Rhinolophus ferrumequinum: one gene and its partners. The protein of the gene in region 4 interacts with the protein of the main gene of each other region in a pairwise test. Links are inferred from orthologs where the notes say so. Each region holds a gene or a part of one and is shown on either strand. Other genes may lie near its edges. The genes, in order: THAP7, ZBTB9, ZNF446 and PIN1.

Region 1 (7,608 bases), on a different chromosome or scaffold from region 4:
CAGTCCTTAAAGATCCATGGCACACGTGTCCTCTTGTAGATGAAGTGCGCACAGGAACCTACAGGCAGCTCTTCCACCCGGAGCAGCTGATCACGGGGAAGGAAGACGCAGCCAATAATTATGCCAGAGGCCATTATACCATCGGCAAGGAGATCGTCGACCTGGTCCTGGACCGCATCCGCAAACTGGTAAGAGCACTGGGAAGGCTTCCTGACGGCATTAGCCTGGAATGGGAGGGAGGCCTTGGAGTGGGACCAGGAGGTCATGTTGGCAAAACCCAGGCCAGAATGACGACTCCATGGTCTTCCTGTCCCGTGGGGCTCCATGCATCCATACGCATACATCTCTAGTGTCTGCTTTGCCTCCCCTCAAAGTGCAGTGCATGTTCACTGGGGACGATTTGAATTCGTATCCTCCTGTGGAGGCAAAGAAAAGTGACAGCGGCTTGGTGGGGTCGCTTCTGCTGGCGTTGCTCATGGTCTCTGCTTTCTCTCAGGCGGATCTGTGCACGGGGCTGCAGGGCTTCCTCATCTTCCACAGCTTCGGGGGCGGCACCGGCTCTGGGTTTGCGTCTCTGCTCATGGAGCGGCTCTCAGTGGACTACGGCAAGAAGTCCAAGCTCGAATTTGCCATCTACCCAGCCCCCCAGGTATCCACGGCCGTGGTGGAGCCCTACAACTCCATCCTGACCACCCACACGACCCTGGAACATTCCGACTGTGCCTTCATGGTGGACAACGAAGCCATCTATGACATATGTCGGCGCAACCTGGACATCGAGCGTCCCACGTACACCAACCTCAATCGTCTGATTGGGCAGATCGTGTCCTCCATCACGGCCTCCCTGCGCTTCGATGGGGCCCTGAACGTGGACCTGACGGAGTTCCAGACCAACCTGGTCCCATACCCCCGCATCCACTTCCCCCTGGCCACTTACGCGCCCGTCATCTCGGCCGAGAAGGCCTACCACGAGCAGCTGTCCGTGGCCGAGATCACCAATGCCTGCTTCGAGCCGGCCAATCAGATGGTCAAGTGTGACCCTCGCCACGGCAAGTACATGGCCTGCTGCATGTTGTACAGGGGAGATGTGGTCCCGAAAGACGTCAACGCGGCAATTGCCACCATCAAGACCAAGCGCACCATCCAGTTTGTGGACTGGTGCCCGACGGGATTTAAGGTAGGACTGGGTGCTGTCGAGTGGTTTTATCGTTCAGCATGTAGCAGACCCTGCGACAGGATGCTGTCCTTGTGGAGAATACATGGCAGCTAGGCTCTTGGTCATAAATGAGTGTACCAGAGTGATAATTTATTCAGTGGTGTCTTGAATTCCTTCCTGAGTCATCACATTATTTATCTGTGGTGGGAGAATTTTTTTTAACAGAATAGGAAAGTTTCCGAAGGATCTTTGGCCCCCTTTTGGAGTGGTAGTATTACTCAGAAAATGTAGGTTGGCCTTAGAAATAAGATACTTTTTTCTTATACTATGAATTTTCCTAAAATAGAAATTTAGTCTTCTAATAGAAATGTAGAAATTTTCTGGGCATTTTGGTAATTCATGTGGACATTTGAAATTGGCGCGTTACTGTAAATGGATTCCAACATGTACTTGGAAGCCAAATAACAGAATGTCAGGCGTTAGACCTGTTGTGATTATCAGGCTAAGTGCTTCATCATGCCTGCGTTCGTTAATTTTGTGCCCTCTTCTTTGTTACAAGTCCTCGTTCACAGTTGGTTTCCTGTGTTAGACAAAGCTGTAGACCTCATATTTGTAAGCCCTGAGGAGTCCTAAGGTGTTTGTGGAGTTACAAGTTCCAGGGTCATGCCAGATTGAATATGACAAGTAGTAGAAATATGTGTCATCTTGTTCCCATTTGGAATGGCAGTAGCTTGCCTCTGACCACACACAAGTTGTTGAAGCTATCTAGCCCTCTGTCAGACCCACTCTAAGAAACCATGACGCAGATCATCTCTGAGGACATAAAACTGACAGATTTAAAGTGACTCACAGAAAAGGGTAAAACAACAGGTTTCATCAATCTGGAAATATTCATTAAATCTTGCAGACCTTAGAGGTTAGAGGTAGGAGCTGAAACCTTCCACTCCATGTGTGTAATTACCACGTTCTTGACTTGCATGGAGGAAATTTTCTTTAGTCACTGTGACCTCTGGAAGGTAAGCACATCCAAGAAAGCCTCAGCTGGGAAGTGCTGTGCCCTGTGCCCAGATTTCCTATCATAGCTGAGTCTCTGCCTCCTGTCACCCAGTGGGGAGGCTGGTCTGTGTGGGGAGGCACAGGAAGTCAAAGCTTGTACTGACTGTCCCCAAAGAAGACAGTCCAGCCTCAGATAACCATGTTGAATTCTCATGCTAGTTTTTTGGGTTGTTTTTTTTTGTCAGTCTTAGTGTAATTTCACCATATATTCTTTAACAACCATTTGCTCAGGGATACACTCTTTTCAAGGAATCTTTTATGTTTAATAATTTTTAGTTTTTTTATAAAAATGCATATACATGGCAAAATATTAAAACAATGCAGAAGGCTGAAAAACACTAAATTCTCTTCCCCTTCCCCAGAGGTTTGTCTTTCAAGAGATACTCTGTGCATATTCGAGGTATATGATGCCTCGTTATGTGGGTGATGTTGACAGAAAGAGACCAGCAACATGGGCAAAGGACGCACAATCTTTACACGTAGGTGATAGATTTGACTCACTGCACACAGGTGGCCAAAGAGAACAGGAAGCTGGCAGCACTCCCACTTTGAGAGGCTGTCTGGCCTGGCATTAGAGCTGCGGAAGGGCACCCCTTGATCGGGGTCAGAGCCCCGTATCCTCCGTGCCCCTCCCAACTCTTCTGGAGACTGGCTGTGTGTCTGGCTGCTGCTGCCTGCTATCTGCTCACAGGACAGAGATCGGTGCCTGCCTCACACTCCCAGGCATTTGTCTTCCTCCAGCACGATGTTCCCCTCGCTGTCCAAGGCAGTAGCCTGTTACTCTATACACATTGCTAAGCATAAATACATAGAATTCAACTTGCTATTCTTTTTACCAAGTATACCTTATACCTTGGACATGTTGATATACCAGGACAGATTTTTCACTCTTTTTTATGCTCGTACATAGTGTTTCACTGTATGGGCGTATATTTAGTTCCCCATGATGGACATTTGTTCCAGTTTTGCCATTACAAGCAGTGCTTTAAACTAAATAGTACATAAAAATCTTTACACATGCAGCTTTGTGCTCTTGTGTGGGTAAATCCAAAAAGTGAAAGTGTACAGTCAAAGGATATTAAATGTTGATATTGCCAGAAAATACTGGACCAGTTTCTATAGGGTGTCATTTAAACTGTGTCCACAGCTCCAGTTTTGAAAAACAAGCTACCATTTCTGAGGCCACAATATAAACTTCACTCTATTCCCTCCTCTGGCAGGTGGGCATCAACTACCAGCCCCCCACTGTCGTCCCTGGGGGAGACCTGGCCAAGGTGCAGCGGGCCGTGTGCATGCTGAGCAACACCACTGCCATCGCCGAGGCCTGGGCCCGCCTCGACCATAAGTTCGATCTCATGTACGCAAAGCGAGCCTTTGTGCACTGGTACGTGGGGGAGGGCATGGAGGAAGGGGAGTTCTCTGAAGCCCGGGAAGACCTGGCAGCTCTGGAGAAAGATTATGAAGAGGTTGGTGTGGATTCTGTGGAAGCAGAGGCTGAAGAAGGGGAAGAATACTGAATGGGAGAGTACAGCTGGCAACCATCCCTGTTTCCCATCCCCCACTGTAACGTTACAAGACATGTATACAAACTATTAAAGTTTCTGTATTGAGGTATTGTCTGTCCCTTGTGCTTCACTTTGACAAAATTCCCCATTCAAATACCTGCCTTTTTCCAAGTGGATTTTCTAGGGGAAAAACATGTTTCCTCTCAGACCGAAAAAATTATTGTCTTTATGTTTAGTTACTGTATTTCTCCCAGAAAGGCTTCAAAAGGCACGGCTCAGGGAATTAGGAAGAAAGATGCTTCGATTATTTTAAATGTAAACATTCTTAAATCCTTCATGCCTGATGTTCTTTGAAGGATGGAATAGTAACCTGGTTTTCTTCTAAGCAGTGGAGTGGCTGTTTTCACCCTGTCTTGGGAGGGGCCAGGGAGGCCGCCCTGCCCAGCACAAATCTATTTCCTGACCTCCGATTCCAGGAAAGCCCCTTAGTTTTCCCTGTCAGCGTCCCTAACGGAAGTCGCTACACAGAAACTTCCCTGCCCATCACATTTTCCCAAAACGTAATCAATGGCCACCGCCCACTCTTCTCATTACAGGCACCTCTCCTGAAATTAGTCGTGAGCACTGGTATTTTTTAGGTTCTTTTGATCACGCGTCCCGGTCTCTTTCTTGCTGTTGGAGTACGTTTCTTGCAATCGGGGCCTCCCTGGGCGGCTTGCGCGGGTACCGAGGCATTGTCGTTTTACCGCCGCCGCGTCGCGCAGACCCGTACCCCGGGCCCTGTGCTGCCGAGTGGAGCCGCTCATTGGGTGCCCGGGCGTTGACGGTCAAAAGTTAGACCCGAAAGGACAGAGGGGCCAACGTTGCCACGGCGCAGGCGTCCAGGGACCCTAGGACTAAACGGGTCCCGCGGCGACGCCACGCTTCCGCCACTTCCGGGGCCCGCCCCGCCCCTCGGTCGAGCGCCCGCGATTTCGAGTCTCTATGGTAGCAACTTCCGCCGCTCGCTATATCTCGCGAGACTACGGCGGCTCAGCAATGGCAAGACCGTGAGTGCCGCTGAGGGGAGTCAGGAGTACGGGTTGGGTCGGGGCTCAGGCGAGATCGGGCCGGGGGGCAGACCTGCCAGGCCAAGGCCGCCCGAATCGGAGCGGCGGCTGGGGGCGCGAGGCCCCTCTGAGTCCGAACAGTCGCCCGTGACCAAGCTCCCGCCTCTTCCCCAGATGCCGCGTCATTGCTCCGCCGCCGGCTGCTGCACACGGGATACGCGCGAGACGCGCAACAGCGGCATCTCCTTCCACAGGTCAGCGCGCGTGCGTCTTGCACGCGAAGATTCACATGCGCATGCGCCTGTTTTGCCCGCCTCATGAAGTCACCATTGCGCATGCTCTTTGGTTGGGGGCGAGGCTTGAACTTGTGGGTGGGAGAGAGTGAAGGGGGCGGTCCAGGTGGGACTGAGTCCAGACGGGAAAGGATGAAAGGGAGGTCCACCATCCTTGGGACTTATTTTTTGCGACTCTTAACCTGCTAGATGACGCTGACCACGTTGTTCCCCTTTTTGAGACCTCAGTTTCCTCGTCTGTGCCCGGATGGGCGGTGCTTACCTGACAGTTGAAGGGAGGTCTCTTGCAGCATGTGCAAGGCCAGCTCTTCCCACCTGTGGAGCTTATGCAGCATGATGCCAGGGCTGCAGGCAGCCTGGGACTCACGGGTTTGTGGCTCCACAGACTTCCCAAAAAGGACAACCCAAGGCGAGGCTTGTGGCTGGCCAACTGCCAGAGGCTGGACCCCAGCGGCCAGGGCCTATGGGACCCAGCATCTGAGTACATCTACTTCTGTTCCAAACACTTCGAGGAGAACTGCTTTGAGCTGGTGGGAATCAGGTGAGCCTCCTTGCCAGCCAGCACTGGGGCATCTGTAGGGCCCGATGATGAGGTCCCTATAGCAGCTGGCACAAGGCCAGACCTGGTTTCAAGGGTGACTGCCTCTTCCCATCTCTGTACCTCAGTTTCCCCTTCTGACAGATGAGAACAGTAAGACCCACCCCTTCAGGATGACTGTGCCAGTGACACAAAGAAAAACATTGAGCTCTTCCAGAGGGTTTGCCTTAGAACCCCCATCCTCCCACCACATCCCCAAATGAAATCATTCTTTTTGGCTGGTCAGCCCCGTTCTGTTGGCGCCTTTCCATGCACCGTAACTTGGAGGAGTTCTGCAGGGAAGAGATTGGTGGAACTCTGCCTAATTTGGCATTGCCCAAACTAATTGTTTTCAATATGCGTTCCTACCTCTCGCCGTGCTGGCTAGCACTGGGGAGCCTGCTCTGCGGTGCTGGAGGGCATGCAGGCTCTGCGCCCCTGCAGGTCAGCTGCGGGTGGCGGCGCTTGTTCTCCATCTCATCCAGGCTGCTTTCCCCCACAGTGGGTATCACAGGCTGAAGGAGGGGGCAGTTCCCACGATATTTGAGTCTTTCTCCAAGTTGCGCCGGACAACCAAGACCAAGGGGCATAGTTACCCACCTGGCTCCCCTGACGTCAGCCGGCTCCGGCGATGCAGGAAGCGGTATGTGCTCTGGGTGGGGGGTACCCCACTCCCACCCCAAGTCTGAGGGACAGGGCTTTAGGGTATCTACCAGCAGCCATGCTGAACAGGGTCCTGAGTCTGTGGGGCGGGTTCAAGGGGGCTGGTGAATTATGGTCTGGCAAGCTTTTAGCCTGACCTGTCAGTCTCTCCACAGCTGCTCTGACAGTCAAGGGCCCACAACTCCTTTTTCTCCACCTCCACCTGCTGACGTCTCCTGCTTTCCTGTGGAAGAGGCCTCGGCACCTGCTGCTTTGCCTGCCTCCCCCACTGGGAGGCTGGAGCCTGGCCTCAGCAGCCCCTTCTCAGACCTCCTGGGGCCTCTGGGTGCCCAAGCGGATGAAGCAGGCTGCAGTGCCCAGCCCTCACCGGAGCGGGAGCCAGAGCGGCAGCCATCCCCTCTTGAACCACGGCCTGTCTCACCCTCAGCCTATATGCTGCGCCTCCCACCACCTGCTGGAGCCTACATCCAGAATGAGCACAGCTACCAGGTGGGCAGTGCGCTGCTCTGGAAGCGGCGGGCGGAGGCCGCACTCGACGCCCTGGACAAGGCCCAGCGCCAGCTGCAGGCCTGCAAGCGGCGGGAGCAGCGGCTGCGGCTGCGGCTGACCAAGCTGCAGCAGGAAAGGGCACGTGAGAAGCGGGCACAGGCAGATGCCCGCCAGACTCTGAAGGAGCATGTGCAGGACTTTGCCATGCAGCTAAGCAGCAGCATGGCCTGAGTGAGGGGCCACTGGACCCAGGGTTGAGGAACTGCCTGTCAGGGCTCCAACCTCTTCCTCCTTCAGAATCCACCTGGACAGGGACCTGATCTAAGCTGCATCCGTCAGACCCACCAGATGCCATAATAAAGTGGATTCCTGAAGGAGGCCCTGTATGATTCATCTGGGGGCTGGGGCCCCTCCTGGATCCCAGGCTTGTTCCCCCAAACAGTGGCTGCAGACTGCAGAGGGCTCAAACCCTGGAGTTTAAGCTCTTGGCTGTGGAGAGCAGAAAGCCCAGCTCCGTGCCCCATGGGGTTCTCTGAGGACCAGGATTGTGAGTAGAGGCTGCAGGCAGCACTAGGCACCCCTTGCCGTGGCATCTGAAACAGCCTTGACTTCAGCAAGCTGATCCTCTTTGAAAACACTCCTAAAACCCAGGCCAGACTCAGTTCCTTTGCGGGGACACAACAGACTTCCCTCATAGGCCCAGTCTGCCCAGCCTGAGTCCCGGCTTACAGGCCCACCACCCACCACGGGGCCCGTCTTATTTGAAAACAAGGACAAGGACAATTTCTGACTGCCTGGGGCTGCTTGGCTCGGCAAGTAG
Region 2 (7,768 bases), on a different chromosome or scaffold from region 4:
CAGGCTGAGGGGGGAATGCTCTCTGTTACAGGGGTTCCCAGGGGTGACACATGGAGCGCTCAACTTTAAAGTGTTCAACTACAACATAAACATAAAGGTGTTGGGAAGGTGTCTACTGGTGAGAAAGCAAGTTACACCCTGAGGGACTTCTGGAAAGACATAAGGAAAGTACATATTCAGAATTCTGGGGCCAGCCCGGTGGCTCAGGCGGTTAGAGCTCCATGCTCCTAACTCCGAAGGCTGCCCGCTGGATTCCCACATGGGCCAGCGGGCTCTCAACCACAAGGTTGCCAGTTCGATTCCTCGAGTCCCACAAAGGATGGTGGGCAGCGCCCCCTGCAACTAAGATTGAACACGGCACCTTGAGCTGAGCTGCCTCCCGAATGGCTCAGTTGGTTGGAGCGCGGGCTCTCAACCACAAGGTTGCCGGTTCGACTCCCGCAAGGGATGGTGGGCTGTGCCCCCTGCAACTAGCAACGGCAACTGGACCTGGAGCTGAGCTGCGCCCTCCACAACTAAGACCAAAAGGACAACTTGACTTGGAAAAAAGTCCTGGAAGTACACACTGTTCCCCAATAAAGTCCTGTTAGAAAAAAAAAAAGAATTTTGTTCACATTTCCCCTATGATGAGGGAAAGGAAACTTAGAGCTTAGCCTCTGAATTACTAAAGCTCTGAATCAAACATACCCCTAGGTGGAGACCAGCCCCTTTTACTCCTCATGGAGACTGAATGAAACATTTATCATTTTGTCTTCTTGTTCTAACTTTTCTCTCTTCAGATAAACTTCTAATGTGCAATCTGGTTTCCTGTATGAAAAGCAGGTCTATTGTGGGCAAGTGACCAATTTACATATGGCCTGTAAACCACTTGGCTAAGGGTGATTAGTCAAAACCTGGAGTGGGATGAAAAATCTGAGTTTCCAAATCTGCCAGGTTGAGGCCCACACCCAAGAACAAGAGTCCATAATGTATCTCTCCTTTTGGCATGATTACAAGATCCAGGACTGGGGTGTCACGGTAGTGAGGGGTAAGCGTCATCAGCAGCAGTAGCTCTCGTCCTGGAAGTTAGTGTATGGCCTCAGTGGTCACTTGTAAGTCCAGTGAGCAGTGGCCCAGCCCTGGCCCTTGCATAGGTCCTGGTGGCGAAGGAAACAGGCATGGACTCGGAACCGACGACCACAGTGGGGACAGGCATGCAGGGCTCCAGCATGGGTCTTCATATGCTCCGTCAGGTGGTGCTTCAGCTTGAAGCGCTTGTTGCAGATGCCACAGCCAAAGGGCCGAAGGCTGAAGGTCAGCATGATGTGCCGGTCACGCTTTGGCTTCACTGCAAACCGCTTCCCACACAAGCAACCAAAGCGTTTTCCATCTTCAGGGGGTGCCCCACCTAGCTTCACAGGCCCATGCACAGCCTGCCCTGCACCCCCAGGTCCCCCACCGCCTGACAGGATCTCATTCCCATGAAGATCCACGGGTTTCCAGGATGGACCCCCTTCCCCAGATGCTGCCCCTGCTCCTGAGGGAAGCAAGAACCCCAGCTCTCTAGTCCCTTCAGCGTCCCCTCCAGGAACCACTTTGGTCTCCTCCTTTACTCCTCCAGACTGAGTCCCACCTCCTGATATCTCCTCCTTAGGCTCAAAAGGTTCCTGCTTAACGTAGAAGATTTTGGGGTGCAGTGTGGTTAGAGGGGCAGGAGGTTCAGCTGGTGCACTCCCATCCTCCGGAAGCCTACAGGGAACGGTGGACATGGGCAGTGGGTGGGATCCATGAGTGCGGGGAATCCATGATACTCTCGGAGGCTGAGGAGTCTGAGAGAGTGTTGCTGACCCCTGGTCTTCATCATCTTCTTCCTCCTCCTCTTCCTCCTCTTCCTCAACCTGAATCTGTAGCACCTCTCCCAGTTCACTCCCCTCCCCTCCAAAGGGGCTCTCGGTAGAAGCAGAAGACTGCACTGGAGTCTGGAAAGAGGAAGAGTGAATGCACCAACCTCCCGTAGAGGACGTGGTGGAAAGAAGTGTGTGACAAGGGGTCGCTCCACGGGCTGACATTCCACCACCTGAGGTGTCTAATTCTCTCAGGATCTCTGAGCACTGATCTACTACTTGCCACATCTGGAGGCCACTGGCCACAAGGAGGTGGGCAGGGAGCGCATCCAGCGGCAGGCGGAGGCGCCCTGAATAAATGAGCTGGAGCAGCCCCTCGAAGGCATCAGCTTCAATGATGCTGGGCAGAGTGAGCCGTGGCGCGTCCCCCAGAAGAAGTTTGTCATGGAAGTAAGGAGAGGCAGCAGCCAGCACTGCTTTGTGAGCCCTAAGCTCCCGGCCCTGCACCAGGAGCGACACATCACAGAACTTTCCCTCTAGCCTGTGACGGTTCAGGGCTTCCAGCAGCAACGAGCTATGTTGAGGGAAGTCTATCTGGATGGTCCGTGGCGCTGGGTTGCAGATCGGGGACGGGGGGACCGGAGGCAAAGGCGTCGAGGTATCCATGGCCTCCTAGGAAGGAGAGATGTCTCAGGATCGAGAGCAAATGAGGGGCGTGGAAGACCCCACGCGGGATGAAAGCTGCGGTGGAAAGAGACGGGGGTCACATCGGATAAAGGGACCATATCACCTCAGATACCACCCGCCTCCCCACCCCCCATTTTCAGTGATGGTTGCTGCAGATCAGGCCCGCGCACATCCCCACCAACAAAACAAAAACAACCAAGCACCAACCAGGGGTTTCACTTCCAGCGCGTGCGGAACAAGATGAGGAGGACCTTCAGCCACGAGCCTGACCGACCCCCGGCCCTGGGCGGCTCCTGCCGCCGCTCCGTTTCCCCTACGGTGCCCACAGGGCGCGGCTCCCGGGAAGACGCGGCTCCGGGAGACCCCGAGCGCCGGCCGCGCCGTCCTCGTCCTTCCCGCCGCCACGCCCCCGCCGGTACACGCGCCGCGCGGCCGGAGAGCGTCTAAACCACCACCGCGCCGCCGGCCGGAAGCCACCTCCTCCCGGCGCTCGCCGACGCCGGATGCGGAGGGCGGGCTACGAACAGCCAATCGGAGGCCGACGGGCCTCGTGTTGATTGGTTGCGCGGGCGAGAAGCGGTGCTCGTCTCACGGCGGCCGCCGTTGCGGGAGGCCCGGGGGTCGGGCCTGGGAAGCGTTGAGCGGTAGGAGGGGAGACTAGTGAGCCGCCTTGGTGATAAAATGTACTGCGGGTGCCCAGCCAGGTGCCGAGAGGGCGAGATTAAGTGGGCACCTGCTGTGTGGGCTGGGCACTGGCCACATCTCCCTGGGTCCTACCCCTGCCCTGCGAGGTAGGTGTTGCCCTCCTGTTTTCTTGGGGGAGGGGAGGAGGGTGTCATGCAGGGTGGCATGCGGGGTCTCTGGCCCCGCTCCCCACATAAGAACGCAGGACATGATGAGGCCAAAAAGGAACACCCATGGAGCCCTAGATAGGGGAGTCATACCACTATAGTCTCACTGGCGGATGGGTTGGAGACACAGGTAGCAGAAGCCACACGCAACCCGCCATCCACTTCTCTCTCTGCCAACCAACCTCACTTGCTAACTGCAATCCGCCGTGCTAACTGCAATCAGCTCTCACCAGCTCAGCCACCATCTTGCTAGCCCCCATTTTCTGCTAGCATAGCCACAGCAGTTATATTAGTGGCCAATGGCTCACTGGTTACAGCTGATGGCCATCCGATCACAGTTGATGGCCATTTACTACCTGAGCCAGCACCCTTCCTCGTGAGGCCGAGAGCCTGGAAACTGCACTCTGGACTCTGTCCCCACAGGGAGAAAACCGAGGCTGGCAACTGGTGGCTCTGGCGTTGAAACCCAGTTTGCCAAGGAACCACGTTCTTTCCTCCATTCTGCACGGGAGCATTTCAACCAGCAATTAAACCTTATTTCTAGGTAATTTTTTCCCCAAAAAGATATATGTAGATATATACTTGGAATCTTTTATCAGATTCCTTGGCTTTACTCCTTGGGCTTAAGTGGGGCAGAGGTGAGGGGAGAGCTAGACTGGGTGTTCGGCCAGTGCAAAACCCTGTTACAAAACAGACAGCAGGTCCAAAATGGAGTCACCTGTGCCAAGCCCATGTCTGCAAACTAAGAATCAATACTTAACCTAATTGCAGTTTTACCCTGTCCCTCGAATGTAACCTTTAGGTCAGGGGGTGTCCAACTTTTTTCAGCGTTTTTCACCAAGGGCCGTATGCGGTAAAATACACACACAGCCGGGCCACTCACTCGAGGTGAAGTACGTATTGCCTCACCTGGTTTATTTAAGTAAACTAAATATATGTTTGGAATTTGCTGCAGGCCAATTAACAATGGATTGCAAGCCGCAGTTGGCCCGTGGGCCGCAGTTTGGACACCCCTGCTTTAGGTAGTCAACCTGGAATTACCTGCAGCTCTATAGTGAGGACCCCTTCTGTGCCCCTTAGGAGGGGGACCTTGCCTGCGACAATGCGTTCTTTGCTAATTCTGTTTTCCACCCCTTTCCACCTTTAAAAACCTTTCCTTTTCTGTAGCTGGGCTGAGATCCTTCCTATTCGCTAGACGGGATGCTGCCCAATTCATGAATCAGTGAATAAAGCCAATTAGATCTTTAAATTTACTCAGTCGAGTTTTGTTTTTTAACACCCCTGCTCTAAAACAGTAAATCTCACTGGATGGGAGAGTGGTATTCTAGGAGCACACTATGGCATCATGCAGGGGTAGTTTCTCCTAGGCTGTAAGCCCCCTCCCAAAAAAGCAGATCCGATCACTGTGCTGGTCCTGGAGGCCCCAGCCTAGGAAAATCAGCGTAGTGATAAAAGAACAATCTCCGTTTATTAAACATGATTTTTCTGTTTCACCACACACTCCAGAAAAAAAGGAAATGGGGCTGGGAGTGGAGAAAAAGGGACAGTGGTGGGGTAGAGAAGGCTGGGAGTGGGGCTGGGTGGGGAGGGAGAACGAGAAAACAAAATAAAACAGGTAGGAAGAGCATCTCCCTACCCTTAGGGTGGTGGGTGGGGAGGGTAGCATGGGGGGAGGGGGCCAGGAAGCTCTGTACAGAGGGGTTGCCCCCAGCCCACACACACACACCCCGGATATGTACAGTACAAACCCCAGATAATTACAACAGCCAAAGAAGAGAGGAGGAGGAGAGGGGGTCCAGGGTTGGGTCTGAAGTTGGGAAAGCAAGGAAAGGGCACAGGGATAAAATTTCACATATTTACAACTTTTATATAAGTATAAATTTGGCCCCGGCTGGGTGTACGTGTATAGGGGAAGGGGACTGAAGGGGAACTGTCCATACAAAAGAAAGAAGGATGGAGTCTGCGAAGTCTCAATACCAAACGCAAGAAGGGATGAGGGGGCAAGGCTGGGGAGGGGACAGCAGTCAGGGAAGAGGGGGTGTCAAGGAGGGGTTTCTCCCCTCCCATGACCTACCCACCCCAAGCCCCATCCATCCTACCTCCCCTATCCCGCCAGAGAGCTATGTACAGAGAAACACCGAAAAAATTGTGGAGCTGGCGGGAAGGAGGGAGGTGGAGGGAGATTGGGGTGGGGGGAGGATGAAAGGGTGGCCCAGCCCTGTCCTACCTCCCCCTGGGGGACAGAGTCATGGAAGGGGCCCCCCAACACCCCTCCTCCAACACAGGTCCCCCCACCCTGGGGGAGAGAGACATGGCTTTTCCTAGAGTAAGTTCCCTCCTCCCCCTGGGAGTAGAGACCAAGAAGGGGGGGGCAGGGGGCTGCGTGTGCCAGGGTAGGGCAGACCAGCTAGTCTGTCCTCCCCAACACACACCCCCCCCAAACCCTAACCCCTCACCCTAACCTCAATTCCACCCCACCCAACATACTGGGGGAGGGGAGGGCATAAGCCCCCTCACCCCGCTCTGGGACCAGCCAAGAGCAGATCAGGTGTGGGAAGAAGGGGACACAATTCCCCTTCCTCCCTTGCCGCCCCCTCCCTGCCCCGGTGGCCCCTCCACCCCATCTGGGTTCTGGGTGGGGAGGGAGTAAATTTAAGAGTGGTAGGAGGAGAAGGAGTTTGTGCGTGCTGAGCCCCCCCAGACGCTCCTGAGAAATCAAGGGGTAATAGGGCCCCCTCACCTGGGGTCCCCTCCCCATAACAAGGGGGACAGGGGAGGCCAAAATGGGGCGGTGGAGGGGAGTTAGATTGTCAGCTCTGGTTACTGCTAAAAAATCACCCTGAAGTTGAAAGTTTGGAGGTGCCACACCCCCAGGGTGGGGGCTAGGGTCTGTCCCCCAGTGCTCAGGGGAACGATGAGGCAGAGGATGGGGATAGCACCCCGGAGTGAAGGGGTCTGTGTGGGGTAGGTGGTGTCCTGGGGCAAGGGTCCTTGGTGGGTTACAGGGGGCAGCACCCCAACAGGAAAGAAAAAGGGGCAGCTAAGGGTCCCCACTCTCCCTCCTGGAAATGGTGCAGTGAAGGGGGGAGACTGGTGCCCCCCAAGGAGGCCTTCAGGGAGCAACCCCGCTGTCCCTCGGCGAAGTCCAGTCCTGTTGGTTGGTGCTGTTCAGGTGGGGTGCATGGTCAGGAAGAAGGTGTGTGATGCTGGGTGGCTAGTGGTCCGCGGTGTTTCGGAACTCGCCGTTCTCGGTGATCTGCAGCCGGGGTGGGGGGGGCGGGGCTGGGGGGGCCAGGCCGTTCCAAGGTGGGGCCAGCGTCACACGCGGGTTTGTTGGACCCAAGGGGGGAAGCTGCCTCTCCTGCAAGACACCAAAGAGGAGAGCGCGGACTTATTGAGACGCTTCGAGGGGGCCTGGGTGCCAGCCCTCTCTAGTGGCCTCCCCCTTAGCCAGCCCGCTCCAGATGCCAGGTCCCACCCCTTCCCTCAGGACAACCCCAACCTCCCTCCTATTTTGTTTCTCACCTGCAGTAGAAGTTACATCTTCTGGGCTCAGGGAGAAGAGAATCTTACCCCCCGTCTCCTAACAAGGGCCTTCAACCCAGGGAAGCACACCAGGAAACCAGTTCACACCAGGAAACCTCCCCGCCCCCAGCCACCTAACCCTGTATCTTCCCCTGCCGGCCCAGCCTCCAGCCTCCTCCTCCTCGCGGAGCCCCCTCCCGGCCCACCCCCAGTCCGAGGTGGGAACTTTGTGTTGAGGGAACAAAGGGGAGGCAGTACAGCAAAACCTCATTAATCCAAACCCCCATGGATTTGGAATTTTTTCATAATTTGAACAAAAACTGGGCTTGAGTTTTCCTTTATCTATGAAGAAAGGGTGTGCTAAGCAAATTAATGATGGAAATGTGTCTGTAGGAGGAATATTTAACCTATACTAGAAAACAGACTTTTCAATTCTATCTATTCATTAACGCATGCTCCCTGAGGGCCTCGAGTGGAAAAGCCTTATTCAGTGAGGTTTACTTACTGTATATATTTTGAAGACATGCATTTCATTAAATAGACAGTCATTCAGTTTTGTCACTTATTCAGAGTGGCCATCTTCTCAAATATAACATTCCAAATTAGAGAGGTTTAACTGTACTGGGGGGAAAGGAAGGGGATTCAGGGAAGTGACGTGGGAAGGTACAAATACTGTGGGAGGGCTGCCTCTCTCTCACGCTAACCAGAACCACTGGGAGCTTCTGCAGAGACTCAGCAGGCCTCAATCTCTACATCCCCAGGAAGCAAAAGTGCTTCATTCCTCCACCCCCACACTCCTTTCAATCCCTCTCCCTGGGCTCCCACTTAAAGGGTGAGGGGTACCAGACCCTACTCCCACCCCTGGTCCTATTGTATCACCCC
Region 3 (7,486 bases), on a different chromosome or scaffold from region 4:
CGGCCGCCTCAACTGCAGGTTTCGATGTCTGCAGCGGCACAGGTTAGTAGAACCTCGGACCCCTCACCCGCCGGGACCACACCTCCATGGACCTAAGACCCGACTGAGGGAGGGACTTCACCTGGACGTCTTGTCTCTTGATTCGCTTTAGGCCCCGGTGTCCATGCCACTGGGGCATTCACGTGTGGAATTCCCCACTACTGGCAGCGAAGGGGGTGAGGTGTGGAAGTTCCAAAGGAAGGATCCCGCACGTAACAGAAGTTGGGAGGGGTGACAGCCTAGGTGCTTCCGCAACTGAGCTTCTCAACGTGGAGCTCGGGCGAGAAGATAGGTATGTCTGAAAGTCAAGCGGAGGAGTTGAGACTATCCCGAGAGCTCAGGAAGCCATGTAAGATTTTGACCTGAAGGAGGACATGCTTTAAATTAGGATTTTTAAAGTATCCCACCGTTTGCCGAGTGGAGAAGAGGCGCAGAGGAGGCGGGTGGTGTGCAGGGAGGAAGCACGTGGACCATATTAGTTCAGTGGAGACAGGAAAGTGGTTGAATTCTGGATAGATCTGCTGATCATCAGATGCGGGGTATGAGTGAATGACCGTCAAGTTTTTTAGTCTGAACACCAGAAGGATGGAGCTGCTGTAGACAAAATAATAAGTTTAAAGGGAAAGCAGGTTTCAGGGGAAAATAAGGAAGAGTCTGCCATGTCCTAGAGTGGAGGCTTCAGGTGGACCTGGAATTGTAGATATCCAAAGACAGAGTCCTAGTATCCTGAGCCGAGGCAGGACCTGGGAATCAAAAGTAGGAGGGGATTTCACGGACTCAGCAAGGGATGGGCAGTTAGTGCTCTAGGGAGATCAAGAGATGCTGGCAGTCCCTGGGGCACTTGGGAAGTCTGGCAGGTGGCTGAAGTAAGGGAAGGTGGCAGCCCAGGGAGGAGGAAATGGAGGGAACTGGCTCCTGTGTGCCCACGCGATCGTTGGGGCCACCACTGTGGAGACTGGTGGGAATCAGCCAGTCCTTCAGGCTGGGGCAGCAGCCTTAAAAGGTCAGGCATATTCAGCAGGGGCATCTAAGGCTCAGATAAGTGAGGGAAGTTGCATCTGCAGAGCCCTGGGGATGGAAGGTGAACGTCTGAGGGACATCAGGGAGGTATCATTGGGACAGGAATTTCGGTCCTGGGTCACTTGGCCGTAGCTTAGATTATGTCCATCTTCCCCTGCCCACTGTTATAGGGCCTGATGGTCTTTGAAGATGTGGCCGTGTACTTCTCCCGGGAAGAGTGGGGGCTCTTGGATGCTGCCCAGAGGGCCTTGTACCACCACGTGATGCTGGAGAACTTTGCACTCGTGGCCTCTCTGGGTAAGGCCCTGGGTCCTCCATGGGAAAGCTCAGTTGTTGCCAGGTTGGTCCAGCAGCACTAACCCCTTACCTCCTGGCGGCCTGTGAACAGCTCCATACCCAGTGGCTGAGTGTCCCTGTCTGGCTGTGGCACCAGACTGTACTGTGCCTGGGCTCAGTACCCTTCCTTGGGCACTGCCAACACATTCCTCCTCACAGGCACCACTGAGTTGTTCTTATGAGTCCTGACTTATGGTGCAACCTGTGGGTTTTCTTGGTTGCACAGATGACACTGTCTGTGTCCCATGAAGCCCTGACTCCGACCATCTGTTGGGCAGTTGGTTGTTTTGAGCTGCGGCTGGCCCCTCACTTGGTTGTCTCTCACAGGACTCTCTGCCTCCCGACCCCGTGTAGTCATCCAGCTTGAGCGTGGTGAGGAACCCTGGGTCCTCAGTGGGACAGATGTGACCCTGGCTAGGAACAACCAGAGGAGGCCCAGCCCTGGTGAGTGGGTCAACCTATGGCCAAGCTTCTGTCCCCTCTCCCCACCCTCCTGGACATGCTCCTCTCCTGCCTTCCACCCGATTTCCTTCTGTTCTCCTTCCACCATCAGCCTCTCCTGAAGGCTCCAGCCTTGGCTTTCCTCAGGGGAAGCTCCAAGAGCACCCCCCAGGCCGTGCTGAGACCTCTCAGAATCCCACCATAAGCCAGGGTGTGTGGCGTCAAAGCCTCCCTGTCCTACCTCACCACCTCATCTGCGACGCCATTCCTTGATTCATTCATGTGTTCATACCATTCCTGTTTCCGGCACTGGGGGCACAGCCTTGATCAGGACGCTCCTGGTCCTGCCTTCGAGGGGTTGACCGCGCTAGGGGAGAGGCAGTCAGTGAACAGTTTGTGAGTAAAACTATCGCATCGGGGAGCCATCAGTGTAAGGAACAAAAGGAGGCTGGGGTATCCCTCAGACAAGTGAGCTACATACAGGAAAGGTCTCTGGCTCCTCTTCTCCCCAGCTTCCACACCCAGACCTTAGGGTCCCCTTGCCCACCCACGCGGTCTGCCCTGGTCACCCTCTCCTGGTGAGGATGACCCCCAGGCATCCACTGTTTCTGTGCCTTCAGGTTCCCAGCATCTGGCAGAGGACAGAGATGTTTCTGGAGAAGCAGTGTGGCCAAGAACCTTCCAGAACACCAGGGTCCCTCCCACCACTGCTGTCAGTGTGCGTGGGAAATGCCTGGGGAGTCGGCGGGCCACCTCCTCATCCCGGGAGAGAAAACCCACGGGGGTCTCCGTGATCTATTGGGAAAGGCTCCTCCTAGGCCCTGGCAGTGGTGAGGCCAGTGTCAGTCTGCGGCTGACTTCCCCGCTGAGAGCTACCACGGGCAGCCCAATCACGGAGAAAGCCCGCACAGACCACCTGGAGCCAGGCAAGCAGCCCAGGGCGCCCGAGCGGCAGAAGCCGTCCCCGCGGGAGGCCCCGGGGAGAACCTTCCCGAGCGACCCTGTTCTCGAAGCCAGTCACTCTCGGGGGGGTCGAGGAGTGCGGGTGGTGTGGCACGAGCCTCAGAGACTCCCCGCCGGCCAGGAGCCCCCGACCTGGGATGAGCTGGGCGAGGCCCTCCACACCGGCCCCGGCCTCCTCCCAGGAGAGAAGACCTTCGAGTGCAGGGCGTGCAACAAAGTCTTCGTGAAGAGCTCCGACCTGCTCAAGCACTTGCGCACGCACACCGGGGAGCGGCCCTACGAGTGCGGGCAGTGCGGCAAGGCCTTCAGCCAGACATCGCACCTGACGCAGCACCAGCGCATCCACAGCGGTGAGACGCCCTACGCGTGCACGGCCTGCGGCAAGGCCTTCCGGCACAGCTCTTCGCTTGTGAGACACCAGCGCATCCACACGGCTGAGAAGGCCTTCCGTTGCGGCGAGTGTGGCAAGGCCTTCAGCCACGGCTCCAACCTCAGCCAGCACCGCAAGATCCATGCGGGCGGGCGGCCCTATGCCTGCGCGCGGTGCGGCCGCCGCTTCTGCCGCAACTCGCACCTGATTCAGCACGAGCGCACGCACACAGGCGAGAAGCCGTATGCCTGCGCGCTCTGTGGGGCCGCCTTCAGCCAGGGCTCCTCACTCTTTAAGCACCAGCGCGTGCACACGGGCGAGAAGCCCTTCACTTGCGCGCAGTGCGGCCGCGCCTTCAGCCACAGCTCCAACCTCACGCAGCATCAGCTGTTGCACACGGGAGAGCGGCCCTTCCGCTGCGGGGACTGCGGCAAGGCCTTCGCCAAGGGTGCCGTGCTGCTCAGCCACCGGCGCATCCACACAGGTGAGAAGCCGTTCGTGTGCGCACAGTGCGGCCGCGCCTTCCGCGAGCGCCCGGCTCTCTTCCACCACCAGAGGATCCACACGGGCGAGAAACCCATGCGGAGGCTCAGGGCCACGGCCGGCCTGAGCTCCCAGGCCAAGCCTCCGGAGGCACCCTCAGCTGGCACGCCTGGGAGGGAAGCCAGGCCCACTTCCAGCTCAGGCCCAGCCACCGTGCCGAAGCCAGCTGAGGCCTGAGGTCCCAGCTCCCCTGTTTCCGATCTCTCCTGAGTCCTTTCCACAGCTAACGGGCCGTGTCCTTTGAAAATCCACACTCTGGAGAAGCTCTGTGCGCACTCTGCAATTCCATCTGTATGTGGTGACAGGATTTGCCACTTCAGCCACAGCTGACTCCATCCCCAAGAGGTCAGGCTGCGGAAAGGTCAGGAGGAGGGAGATGGAGGCTGGGACTTTGGTGAGGCTGAAACATTGCAGAGCCAGTGGCAGGACAGCAGGGCGGCGCCACTGCTCTCATGTCGTGACTGAACACTAAGAGGAGGGCAGTGCCGGGATGGAGTGGAGGCAGGCCGAGAAATTTTTTACACATTCAGGATATTACCCCCAGGTCTGGATTCATCCAAGGCTTCCTGGGAGCTGGCCCAGTGGACGAGAGGTCATGTGGGGGGTTGGGTGCTGGCCCTGGGTAAATGGCTGGGCTCTGAGCCTCAGCTTCCTCCTCTGGGGGAAAGAAAGAGAAAAAAGGGATTTCATCCTACAGAGGGTATTTGCCATACCCTGACAGACAGGCTCTTGATAAGGCCAACATGTGCCAAGTGCCAGCCCCTGTGAGGTGGCTGCTGTGGCTGGTATCCCCACTTCTCGTAGGAGGAAACTGAGGCACAGAGGCACAGAGAAGGGGTGTGAATTGCACACAGTACAGCCAGGCCTGGCATCCAGACAACTTACCACTGCACACCTACGCTCTAATCAGCTCGCTGTGAGGGCTGAGTGAGGCCTGGCCTGGCTCCCTGAGCATGGCTGACCCATAGGAGGTGGAGGTCCGCAGGGGAAAGACAGATGGAGAATGATGGCTCCCTAACCACAGTCGTTCCAATTCTCATCCAAGCCTCAGCATTTCCATGTCCTATTACCAAAGTCAACTTGATAGGAGCCTTTACACCCCACTGTCCTGACAGGAGGTGACTGAAGTGACAGGTTCAGAGGACACAAGATAGGGCTGCTCATTTCTGCAGGGCCCAGGGGCCACATGCCTACCTGTTCTCTGCCCATATGAGGTGCCCTCCTGAGATCCCCGCTCAGTGTGACACCTCCACACAGCGGGAACACTGAGGTAGACAGGTGCGTGGGTGCCCAGTTTACTTCCTGTGGCCCTTAGCAGACTGAGGCCCATTTTGACTTTGGCCTCATGTCTAGGGAAGTTAATGGTCTTTTTACTGGGAAAAAAAAGACGAAGTTACAACTTGGAACGGGCATATATTGTAAATTCTTGCACAGCGCTGTGGAATTCCACAGCTTCAGCCTCCCTTCCCACCCGAGTCCAGAGAGGCTCCCTGATAAAGGTTTCTTTTTAAAAACGTGTGAATGGTAACAGCCTGATTTCACCCTAGCACAGTGCAGACGTGCCCTCAGGGCATATCATTGTCACAGAGCTGTGGGGACTTGGCTTCAACCTGGGTCCCTTTGAGAAGCCACAGGGAAGAGATGCAGCCTGTCTGTGGCCCTGAGGGGTTGGGATACCTGTGTCCCCTTGGCAGCCAGAGGTGGGTGAGGGGCCGCAGGAGACCTGGGTAGGTCTAGTAGGAGTTGGGCCTTTGTGGATTCAAGCTGTGGAATCTGAGTCAGGGGCCATCACAACCAAGACCTCACAGCCATCTGCCATACAGAGTGAGCACAGACATGATCTCCCTACTCCCCCACCTTCCAGCAGGACCTATCTTCCCCAGGAACCTCACAAGTTCCTACAAGGAGGGCAGACTTGGAGGTATGGAGAGGAGTCATGCAGGACCCAGCTCCCCAAGACCCTTCAAGGGCAGGTCCTCCGAGCCAGGCCTCCTGGTACCCTGTGGGCCCTTGAGCCATAGTCCGCCCTTCCTGGACTCATCCTCTCTGCTCTGCTCTGGTCGACACCCTCACCTTTCCGCAGGCTGTCTTCCATGGGGCAGCCTTGAACATGTCACATCCACCTCAGTCTGCACAGCTGTGTAATGCAGACACCCTCACCCTGCTGAGGACTTTTCTGGGGACCCATAGGATTCAGGAACAAAAACATCTGTCAAACTGCAAGTGGGTACCCAGAATCACATGCAACCTTTTCTGCACTTGGGACACACATGGGAGCCCAGTTTCCACCCTGAGCCCTCCAGACCACTCATGCTGGGCCTGATGCCCTTTCCTGTCTACTGACCAGCCGCCTCCTGTTTTCCTTGAGCTCCTCTTGGGTAAGGCCCTGGTTCTCTGTTCTTCCACCAATCCACCCCTCCCAATATCCAGGACTGGTCAGTGGCCTCCACCCTGTTCCTGTGGGAACAGCAACCATAAGCACCTTCCTTCACCCATGTCTTGAGCACCCAACTTCCCCCTAAGTTACTTTCCCCCAAACCTCTGTGGTATGTTGGGCCCTGTACTGCCAGACTGGCTGTTCTTAACCCTGAACAAGCTGTGAGTGTAAGTGTCCCTGGGCTTTCTGGGTCAAGATGGTGAACTGAATACATGCTTCTCACTTGGTTCAGAAGCCCACTGAAACCAGAGTTTAAAACACATCCTGTGGGTTGATGAGGAGAATGGTGAAAGAGGAGGCAGTTACAATGGTATTTTGAACCCAGGTGGGGATGCAAGAGCTGTTACTGACTTATGGCAATTCAGATAATGAGTTGCTACTGGACGAAGTAGACGGAAGTACCACCAGCCTTATGCTGCAGAACTTCAGAAAGCTTGAAAATCAGCCACCTCCCGGGAGGGGAGACCTAAAATATGACGGGTGGGAGAATACTGGAGAAAGCTGTAAGAGCTTCAGCTCTATCTACATGGTGGATGGTGGGAGAGTCATTTCTGGGGAACCCACACAGTCCAGAGAAAAGACCTAAGCCCCCACAAAACAGCCCAATCCCATGACACACTCCTGGGAAGACTTGACAGGCCCTAGGCTGAGAGCTTCCAATCATGGCAAGCTGGCTTGCTCTTGGCAAGCTGGCAGTCAGGGATTCCTAGGTATCAGAAAGAACCATGACAAACAGTTGCAATTTATGATTGAATATACAAGTCACAGTTCAGCCACCTTTGCTTCCACCTGATGTATGGAAGCAAAACTGGCCCAGTCCCAGTCAGATTTTGATAACATTGCCTGTTGAGATAAACTAAAAGGTCACCTTACTGGTTCTGGCTACCCAATTAAGTAAAAGGTTCAGCATGTCCCAAAAGCCTGGACAAAAACTTCCATCCTTCACTTTGCAGTACAATACTGATATCTGAAGATATGTCAGACTAGGTATAAATCATGGGACAGTTTTCTCATCAGTAAATGGGTGCCCACTAGGGGCAGGGCCCTCAGCGGAGATCGAATGAAGGACTCCAGCATCCTCCCTGGAGAAGGCCCATGGATCCGGCCGGCCTTCCCAGGTGAACCCCGCTTCTTCCTGGGACCACCCGGAGGTGAGTTTCTGCCGAACTATTAATAGTATATTACCCAGGCCGTCACTTCTGGCCTCCCGGGAGGGCAGGGCGACGCTCCTGCCGTTGCCTTTGAAACGTATGCAGGCGGGGACATACTTTAGCGGTTACCAAGGGGACAGATGAGCGACCAAAATGGAGCCTCAGGAAGAGCGCTGGAGGAGGAGC
Region 4 (7,344 bases):
AGTTAGGAATACAGGTTCTGGATTCAGACAGACTGGGTGGAATCCCAGCTCTGATACCAACAGCGACCCTGGGCAAGTTACTTACCCTCCCTCAGCCTTCATTTCTTTTTCCAAACTGCAACTGATAGTGTTTACTTTATTGTCCTGTCGTGAAGTATAGATGAGATAAAACATGGTTAAACATCTACAGTTCCTGGCGCTTATGAAATCCTAGTGGACAGAGCAAGACTGTGGCATAGGCTGAAATTTGACTGATCTTACGTAGTAGTGGGATTTGGGGAAGTCAGCCTCTCTGATCCAGAGTGTTCCCCTCGAGAAAGGGATACCATGATGGCTTACATCTCAGTGAGATAATGCAGTTAAAATAACACGATGTCTGATAAATAGTGCTATTAGGTGTCTCCAGCCTTCTCCCATGTGTGAGCAGACGACGCCAAACACTCCATCTCTGTTCCCCTAGCCACAGACCCTGGGGTTGACCTTGGCCCTGTCCTTTCCCAGAGCGGCATTCTGGAGCCGTTCTCAAGAGCTTCACCCACAACCTGGCTCCATCCCTTCTCCCCTCTCTTGTATTGACCTGCCCTGTCCTCGGTTCACAAACACAGTCGAGTGTAGTCCACTGACCCTTCCCTTCCCCCAAAGTCCCCCCAGCCTTCTGCCTTCCCTTCACTACCAAGCTTTTTTTTGTTGTTTATTTGTTTCTTACTACCACCAAGCTTCTTGGCAGCTGCACCTGCCAGCTGTCTGGGGGCTGCTGGCCTGTAGCCCATTGAGAATGGTCTCTCTTTGGTCTCCCATTACTCACCTCCCTACCTATCTGTTGGCTTCCCTCCTGTCCCTAGGACTCCACTTCCTCCTGACATGTCAGACATGTCTGTTTCCTGGTACCCTGGCCCTTACTGCATTTACAGCTCAATCTCGCCCCTTACTGTCTGTTAGAAAAACAAACCCAACAATTTTTTTTTTAACTACACGAGGGACTTGACAAGGTAATCCCTTATTAATTTCAAATCAGCCTAGAAAAGTACATGCTAAAAGTAAAACCCCTTTCCTCACCCGATTCTCTCTGCTGAGGTCAGACCTTTTCTAATGTATTTTTATAAACTTCAATTTGGTTTTTAAAAGATGTCTATGCTAATATCTGGTTCTTAAATAACATTCTCCAATAAAAGGAACTAGGGCTTCTTGGAAAAGTGATTGGTTCAAGAGCCAGGGCAGGGAAAATACAAGCTAAGCGTGGAGCATCTTGTGGTGTCAGGAAGTAGGAAGTGCTCAATTAAAAGGATGGAAACATGGAAAGAGCACAGAAGCCAGCCTATGAAAGAGCTCCCAGTAACCAAATTTGGAACAACTTGAGCAACAAAATAACGATAGTATTGGACTATAACCCAAAGAATAAATACCCTTGAGCCCATGATCATATCAATAAATAACTGAATATATAAATAAATGGAGAAGGGGCAACTCGTCATTACAAAAGGATTTCAATTAATAAACGTAGACGATTAGAGGAAATAAGAAATCATCCACCATTGGCATACCATAGTAATAATTGCTGTAGGCAAGATGCACTGATAAATGCTAAACTCGGTGGGTAAAAGTTTAAGCAGAAGTAGGATATTTGCACACTCTCAAAGTATCTCCTCAAAAGTATTTATTCATTACAATAGTAACTTTAGAAACTGCCTAGACCAAGTGATCAAAGTTAATATTGCCAAGTGTGGCAGGCAGCCTGTAAGATGGCCCCTAACGATCCCCCCATTCTGGTATTCACACCCTTGTGTAATCCCTTCCTCTTGAGTATAGGCTAGACCTCGCTTCTAAGAAATAGGACATGGCAAAAGTGGTGCACTATCACTTCGGAGATAAGGTTGCAAAGAGACTGGATTCTGTCTTGCTTGCTCACTTGCTCATTGATGAAAGCCAGCTGCCATGTTTTGGAGAGGCCGCCAGCCAATAGCCAGTGAGGAACTGTGGTCCTCAGTACATCTTGTTAGCAACTGAATCCTGCCAGCAGCCACATGAGCAAGCCTGGAAATAGATCCTGCCCCAGTCAAACCTTCAGATTAGACCACGGCTACCCCTGCTGACACCAGCTAAACTGCCTGGATTCCTGACACATAGAAACAGAAAATAAAATGTTACTCCCCTAAATTGTGGGGTAATCTGTTATGCAGCAATAGATACCCTAATGTAACCAGGAATACACTGCAACACCGTCGATCACCTGGTATGATGCACTGAGAAGGGCACGACGACTCTGGGGTACCCTTCCCAATAACTTCAATCGAATCATGAGAAAATACTGACAAACCCCACCATGACAAAACATCAGAATGAAGGCCAGTTCTACTCTTCAAAAGTATCAAGATCGTGCAAGACAAGGAAAAACCTAAAAACTGTCACATACTGGAGGAGACGAAGGAGACATGACAATGTGGATGCAAGTCTAGTTAATAGTATTATACCAAAGTTGATTTCTTAGTTTTGATAATTACTCTATGGCAGAGTTTCTCAGCTTTGGCACTGTTGGCATTTGGGGCTGGATAATTCTTTGTTGTGGCGGCTGTGCATTATAGGATGTTTAACAGCATCCTTGGCCTTTACCCATTACATGCCAGTAGCATTTCTCTCCCCCGACTTGTGACAACCAAAAATGTCTGAAGACATTACCAAATGTTCCCTGGGGAACGAAACCACCCCTGGTTGAGAACATGTTCCTTTACTATGTACAATGCTAATATAAGGGAAGTCTGGGTGAAGGGCATATGAAACTATATTCTATACTAAGTCTAACATATTTTTCAAAAAGGATTATGCTAACATGTGCTTGTAAAAAAAAATGAAAATCATATTAAAATCTAAGTTGCTCATTTCTTCACCTGCATCACGTGGCAGCCATTATCGTATTTGAATGAATCCAGAAATTCTCTATGATATAAACCTATAGTTTTTACACTTTTCAATTAATAATACATACTCTACATACTGATACTGTTCAGCAGCTTGCTTTTTATCTTTGATATCTTTCTATAAACGATGTCATTCTTTTAAAGCAATTTTATTTGTTGGTTTTTGTTATGCTTTTCTATGTACTATCAATTGCTATGCTGTACTATGATTTGCTTTTTTTTGCCCAGCAAACACATTCTTGCTATGTATAGGCCAGGCACTGTTTGAGTGCTTTATATAAATTAACTCATTTGATCTTTACATCAAAGGTATATATGAAATATATTTCATTTCTTATCCTCATTTTGCAGATGGTAAAGCTGAACAGCAGAGGTTAAGTAATTTGTTCAAGGTCATGGTAAATGGTAGAGCCAGGCTTCAAACAAGTAATCCGTCTCCTGAGTGCTCTTAGCCTTCTACCGCATCCTGTCTCTACTTTCTCGTGAACATGTTTCCCTGTGTTTTATGTCACTGCGCCTCATTCTTTCTAAGTCATATGAGGGTCAGTGCTATAGATGAACTGTAATTGAACTCTTCCCTGTTGGTAATCTTTGACTTCCATAGCTATCTCCAGCCCTGGGTCCCCCACCACCTCCTCAGTGCCCCATGGGTGCCACAGACTCCATTTTAAATAGAATCAAACTGAACTCATCCTCCCACGCTTGCCCCCTTCTGTGTCCCTCTCTGAGTGGCAATGCCATCACCCACCAGTCACCAGGATAGAGGCAAGAGACAGCTTTGGAGGGAATAAGTGATGTAAGTAGGTTCCAAAGAAAGTAGAAGGTGTTTGGGTCATTGGTAGAGGGAAAGGGTTAGACTTGCACAAAAAAAATAAAAGGGGATGGGTTAGCTTGGGACATCTGGAGGAAAGAGATGGGAAGAGGGAGGATGGAAGAGCCAAATTTAGGCTTCTGGTGCTTAGCTGCTCATCACCAAGGCAACTGCGTTGCTGTGGCAACAGCAAAGCCAGCATCTCTTCTCCCAAGTACCTCGTCAGCTACCGTTACCTCCACACCAGCCAGACACTTCCGTATAGGGGGCTGCGGCCCTCCGGAAACGGCTGAGGAAGGCGAGAATTGCTGCTGCAGTAGCCAATCGGATGGGCTCTGTGGCGAAGGACGCAAAGGAGGAGTTGGGACTTCTTTGAAGCTCGCCAAAGGGCTTTGAGAAGGCGGGAGTATATCCCTTCCCCACCACTTACAGGACCAGGAGAGGAAGGGGGCGGGGTCGGGTGAGGCCGACTAGGGGGGGACCGGGACCCAGGTAAATGTGGGGAGGATCCGCCCACTGTCGCTTCTGTGCAATAGAAAGCCAGAAGTCCAGTCCGGACAGTTGGAGTGCCCAGTGAGCGTCGTCTCCAGGCCCTGGTGCAAGGCAGGCCTAGCCAATCGGTGGCGGCGGTGGGCGGGCGGCAGAGGCGGTGCGGCGGAGGCGGAGCGGGCGCTGCGGCAGGAGGGAAGATGGCGGATGAGGAGAAGCTACCGCCCGGCTGGGAGAAGCGCATGAGCCGCAGCTCAGGTGCAGCGGGGGTCGGGGCTGGGGCGGGGCCGCGCGGGCCTGTGGAAGCAGGGCTCGAGCTCGCCTCTTGGGCGCGGTGTAGTTGTCCGATTTCCATGGGATCTTGGCTCCTCCGAATCGTCTAGGGTAACGGCCCCGGCCCGCCCTGTGGAGGCTTTGAGCCTCAGGAGCCAGGAAACCGAAGGAAACTAAGGCGGGGATGGGACCGGGAAAGCCTAGGGCCCTGTGGGGGAAACGGGGGGAAGGGGCCGGTGATCCTACGGCACTCCTCCGAGGGATGGTCTTGGTCCTGCCGACCGGGCTGACACTTTTCGGCCTAATGCACCTGACGTCGCGGGGAAACGTCTGTGCACCCCGCTGGGCCCGGGGGCACCCCTGGGGGAGGAGACCCTCTAAACCCATGCTCAGGGCGTGGCCCTAGAGTTGCCCGGCCTCACATCCCCAACCTACTGCTAACACGCGTGCCATCCACACCTAATGCTGAGCCTATGGTGAAATTCTGCCCGAGGACGGCCCCCGTGCTGGGGCCCGATTTAAGGCACATGTACAGTAATGGCAACACCAGGGCACTTTTATCAGCGTCGAGCATTATGCCGGGCGTTTTAAGTGTTTTCTGTCACTGAATGGCCACATCTCCTGGAGGTTGGTAGTCATTACCCCTATCTTGCAGGTGAGGAAACTGACGCCAGAAAACTTAAGGAACTCGCCCAAGGTCATTCATTTCAGGGGGTGGGGGCTGAGTGTGAGGTTAGAACCCAGTTTGTCTCCAGAGGCCCCTGCCCTTGTCACTGCAAACTGCTGAGAAGCAGGCCCCGCTCTCATTCCACTGCCTCCATTGCCCATAGCAGTCAAAGTCGCAGTAATAATTCTGGTTTATTGAACGCCAGGCACTCTGGTGAGCACTTTGCATACATCATCATTTTCTCTCCACTTGCACCAACCCCATAAAGTCTGATTGTCTCACTTCACTGCCACTTTTCAGCTGAGAACACTGAGGTTGGGAGAACTAGAGCCCACTGCCAAGGTTTTAGAGGCCGTCGTGGGTTCCGCTCTCTCCCACCCTGCCTCAGCCCTGGCCTGTGGCTATGGCCTGCAGCATAAAACTGATGCACTGTCCAACTCTGGGCCCCAACTCCTGCCATTCCTGCTCTGCTCAACCCTGACAGCCCTCCTCAGGGGTGACATTCAACCCTTCACGGTGCTGGGCACAAGTCCTCCATGTAACCCAGGCAAACTGGTTTTGTGGAATGATACCCCGTCTCTCCTAGGTCCCTCTTCAGGCTTCTTGTGTGCCGTGTTCGCTCCATGCTGCTCAGTCCCTGCCTAACGTCTGGCCCCCAGTAATGCTGGCCCCTTGGTGCAGCACAGTACGCTGTAGGGGAAGAGAGCTGAGCTTTGGTGTCTGACACGCCTGGGCGCAGTTGTGCCTGGAGCCCACTGAACACTCAGGAAACATACCTAGTTTTGTCATCTATAAAAGGAATATAATCATAGCTATCACACTCTTAATGTGTGCCAGGAGCTATCCTGAGCACTTTACAGATAAGAACTCATTTAGTCCTTACAATGGCCCAACAAGCAGGCGCTGTTGTGTCCGTTTTACAGGTGAGAAAACCGAGGCCTGGGGAAGGTAGATCATACAGTGAGTAAGTAGCAGAGGCAGATTTGAACAGGCAGTCTGGCTGCTGAGTGCATGCTTTGAACCACTCCGTCTCCCCCACCCTGGCTTCCTCTCTACTGTCACCCTGGGTTATTCAAAGTTATCAGTGACTGAAGTTATCCTGTTGTCTCATTTGCCGGCACCTAGAATGTTAGCTCCCTAAGGGCTTGTGGCACGTGGTGGACACAGTGGATTTGCTGAATGATGGCATCTCATAGACCAGTTCCTTATCCTGGCCTATGAGCAGGTCCCAGCTGAATTCCTGCCTCCTCTCCCTTCAGGCCGGGTGTACTACTTCAATCACATCACTAACGCCAGCCAGTGGGAGCGTCCAAGTGGCAACAGCAGTGGCGGTGGCAAAAATGGACAGGGGGAACCTACGAGGGTTCGCTGCTCACACCTGCTGGTCAAGCACAGCCAGTCACGGAGGCCTTCGTCCTGGAGGCAGGAGAAGATTACCCGGACCAAGGAGGAGGCCCTGGAGCTGATCAACAGTGAGCAGGGCTGGAGATGGGCTCTGGGGGGCAGGGCGGTTGGTACCTCTCCCCCTCCAGGGGCCAGAGTGGGCCTTGTACAAATCACACCAGACCCTCCATCCCACTTGCTCAGCTGTCAGGTGTGGCGTTGGCCAACACAGAAATGCCTATATGTGACATGAGCCTGGCCCAGATGGCCACCTCTTCCCACTAGGGACGGTAGGACCCAGCCTTGGAGCCTGGCAGACCCAGGTTAAGAGGGTAGCTATGTTGCCCTGTAACCTCCATGACCTTGGGGATTCAAGTCACCTCCATGAGACTCAGTTTTTGTTATAAAATGGGCAGCGTCATATATTGTCTATAAAATGGGCACCTCTGAGGGCTGTTGTGAAAATTCAGTGGGATGAGACAGTGCATGAAGCACAGTGGGCCCTCAGTCAGTCGGAGCTATTGATGATAATATCATCAAGCAGGTTTCTGTGGCACATGTGTGGGTGGGTCTGGAAGAAGGGGGAGGGGGAGGGAGGTTGGAAAAGTAGCAGCACAGAACTAGCCAGCAGTTATAAGTTAATTCTGCCCCAAGACAGGGGGCTGTTCCTTGCTTTGTTTTGTGTTTTCTCCACAGTCTAGAGCAGCAGTTGGTAACCTTTTTCTTAAAAGGCCAGATGGTAAATATTTTAGATTTTGTGGGCCATACAGTCTCTGTCAATTCTGCTTTGTAATATAACAGCCATAGAC

The links.
Region 1: the proteins of PIN1 (region 4) and THAP7 interact in binary tests that used the Homo sapiens proteins (3 or more experiments, as listed by UniProt). The two-hybrid records come from large-scale screens. The link is inferred for Rhinolophus ferrumequinum from reciprocal best matches to the Homo sapiens genes PIN1 and THAP7.
Region 2: the proteins of PIN1 (region 4) and ZBTB9 interact in binary tests that used the Homo sapiens proteins (3 or more experiments, as listed by UniProt). The two-hybrid records come from large-scale screens. The link is inferred for Rhinolophus ferrumequinum from reciprocal best matches to the Homo sapiens genes PIN1 and ZBTB9.
Region 3: the proteins of PIN1 (region 4) and ZNF446 interact in binary tests that used the Homo sapiens proteins (3 or more experiments, as listed by UniProt). The two-hybrid records come from large-scale screens. The link is inferred for Rhinolophus ferrumequinum from reciprocal best matches to the Homo sapiens genes PIN1 and ZNF446.

The regions. Positions count from the first base shown.
Region 1 is NC_046308.1:23,399,094-23,406,701, reverse strand, and holds the start of THAP7 (THAP domain-containing protein 7), read left to right. Parts: upstream 1-4,607; 5' UTR 4,608-4,766; intron 4,767-4,940; coding exon 4,941-5,020; intron 5,021-5,349; exon of another isoform or gene 5,350-5,385; coding exon of another isoform or gene 5,386-5,444; coding exon 5,445-5,600; intron 5,601-6,138; coding exon 6,139-6,279; intron 6,280-6,443; coding exon of another isoform or gene 6,444-6,454; coding exon 6,455-7,019; 3' UTR 7,020-7,608. Other genes in the region: tubulin alpha-3 chain, read left to right, coding at 40-188, 497-1,177, 3,433-3,729. UniProt on the Homo sapiens protein: Chromatin-associated, histone tail-binding protein that represses transcription via recruitment of HDAC3 and nuclear hormone receptor corepressors.
Region 2 is NC_046286.1:3,763,330-3,771,097, reverse strand, and holds ZBTB9 (zinc finger and BTB domain-containing protein 9), read right to left. Parts: upstream 2,979-7,768; 5' UTR 2,718-2,978; intron 2,565-2,717; 5' UTR 2,490-2,564; coding exon 1,086-2,489; 3' UTR 504-1,085; downstream 1-503. Other genes in the region: SYNGAP1 (ras/Rap GTPase-activating protein SynGAP), read right to left, coding at 6,576-6,722. UniProt on the Homo sapiens protein: May be involved in transcriptional regulation.
Region 3 is NC_046298.1:50,934,389-50,941,874, forward strand, and holds the start of ZNF446 (zinc finger protein 446), read left to right. Parts: upstream 1-4,474; 5' UTR 4,475-7,453; coding exon 7,454-7,486. Other genes in the region: zinc finger protein 324A, read left to right, coding at 25-42, 1,230-1,356, 1,723-1,839, 2,457-3,889. UniProt on the Homo sapiens protein: May be involved in transcriptional regulation.
Region 4 is NC_046301.1:40,249,501-40,256,844, reverse strand, and holds the start of PIN1 (peptidyl-prolyl cis-trans isomerase NIMA-interacting 1), read left to right. Parts: upstream 1-4,327; 5' UTR 4,328-4,412; coding exon 4,413-4,470; intron 4,471-6,411; coding exon 6,412-6,624; intron 6,625-7,344. UniProt on the Homo sapiens protein: Peptidyl-prolyl cis/trans isomerase (PPIase) that binds to and isomerizes specific phosphorylated Ser/Thr-Pro (pSer/Thr-Pro) motifs.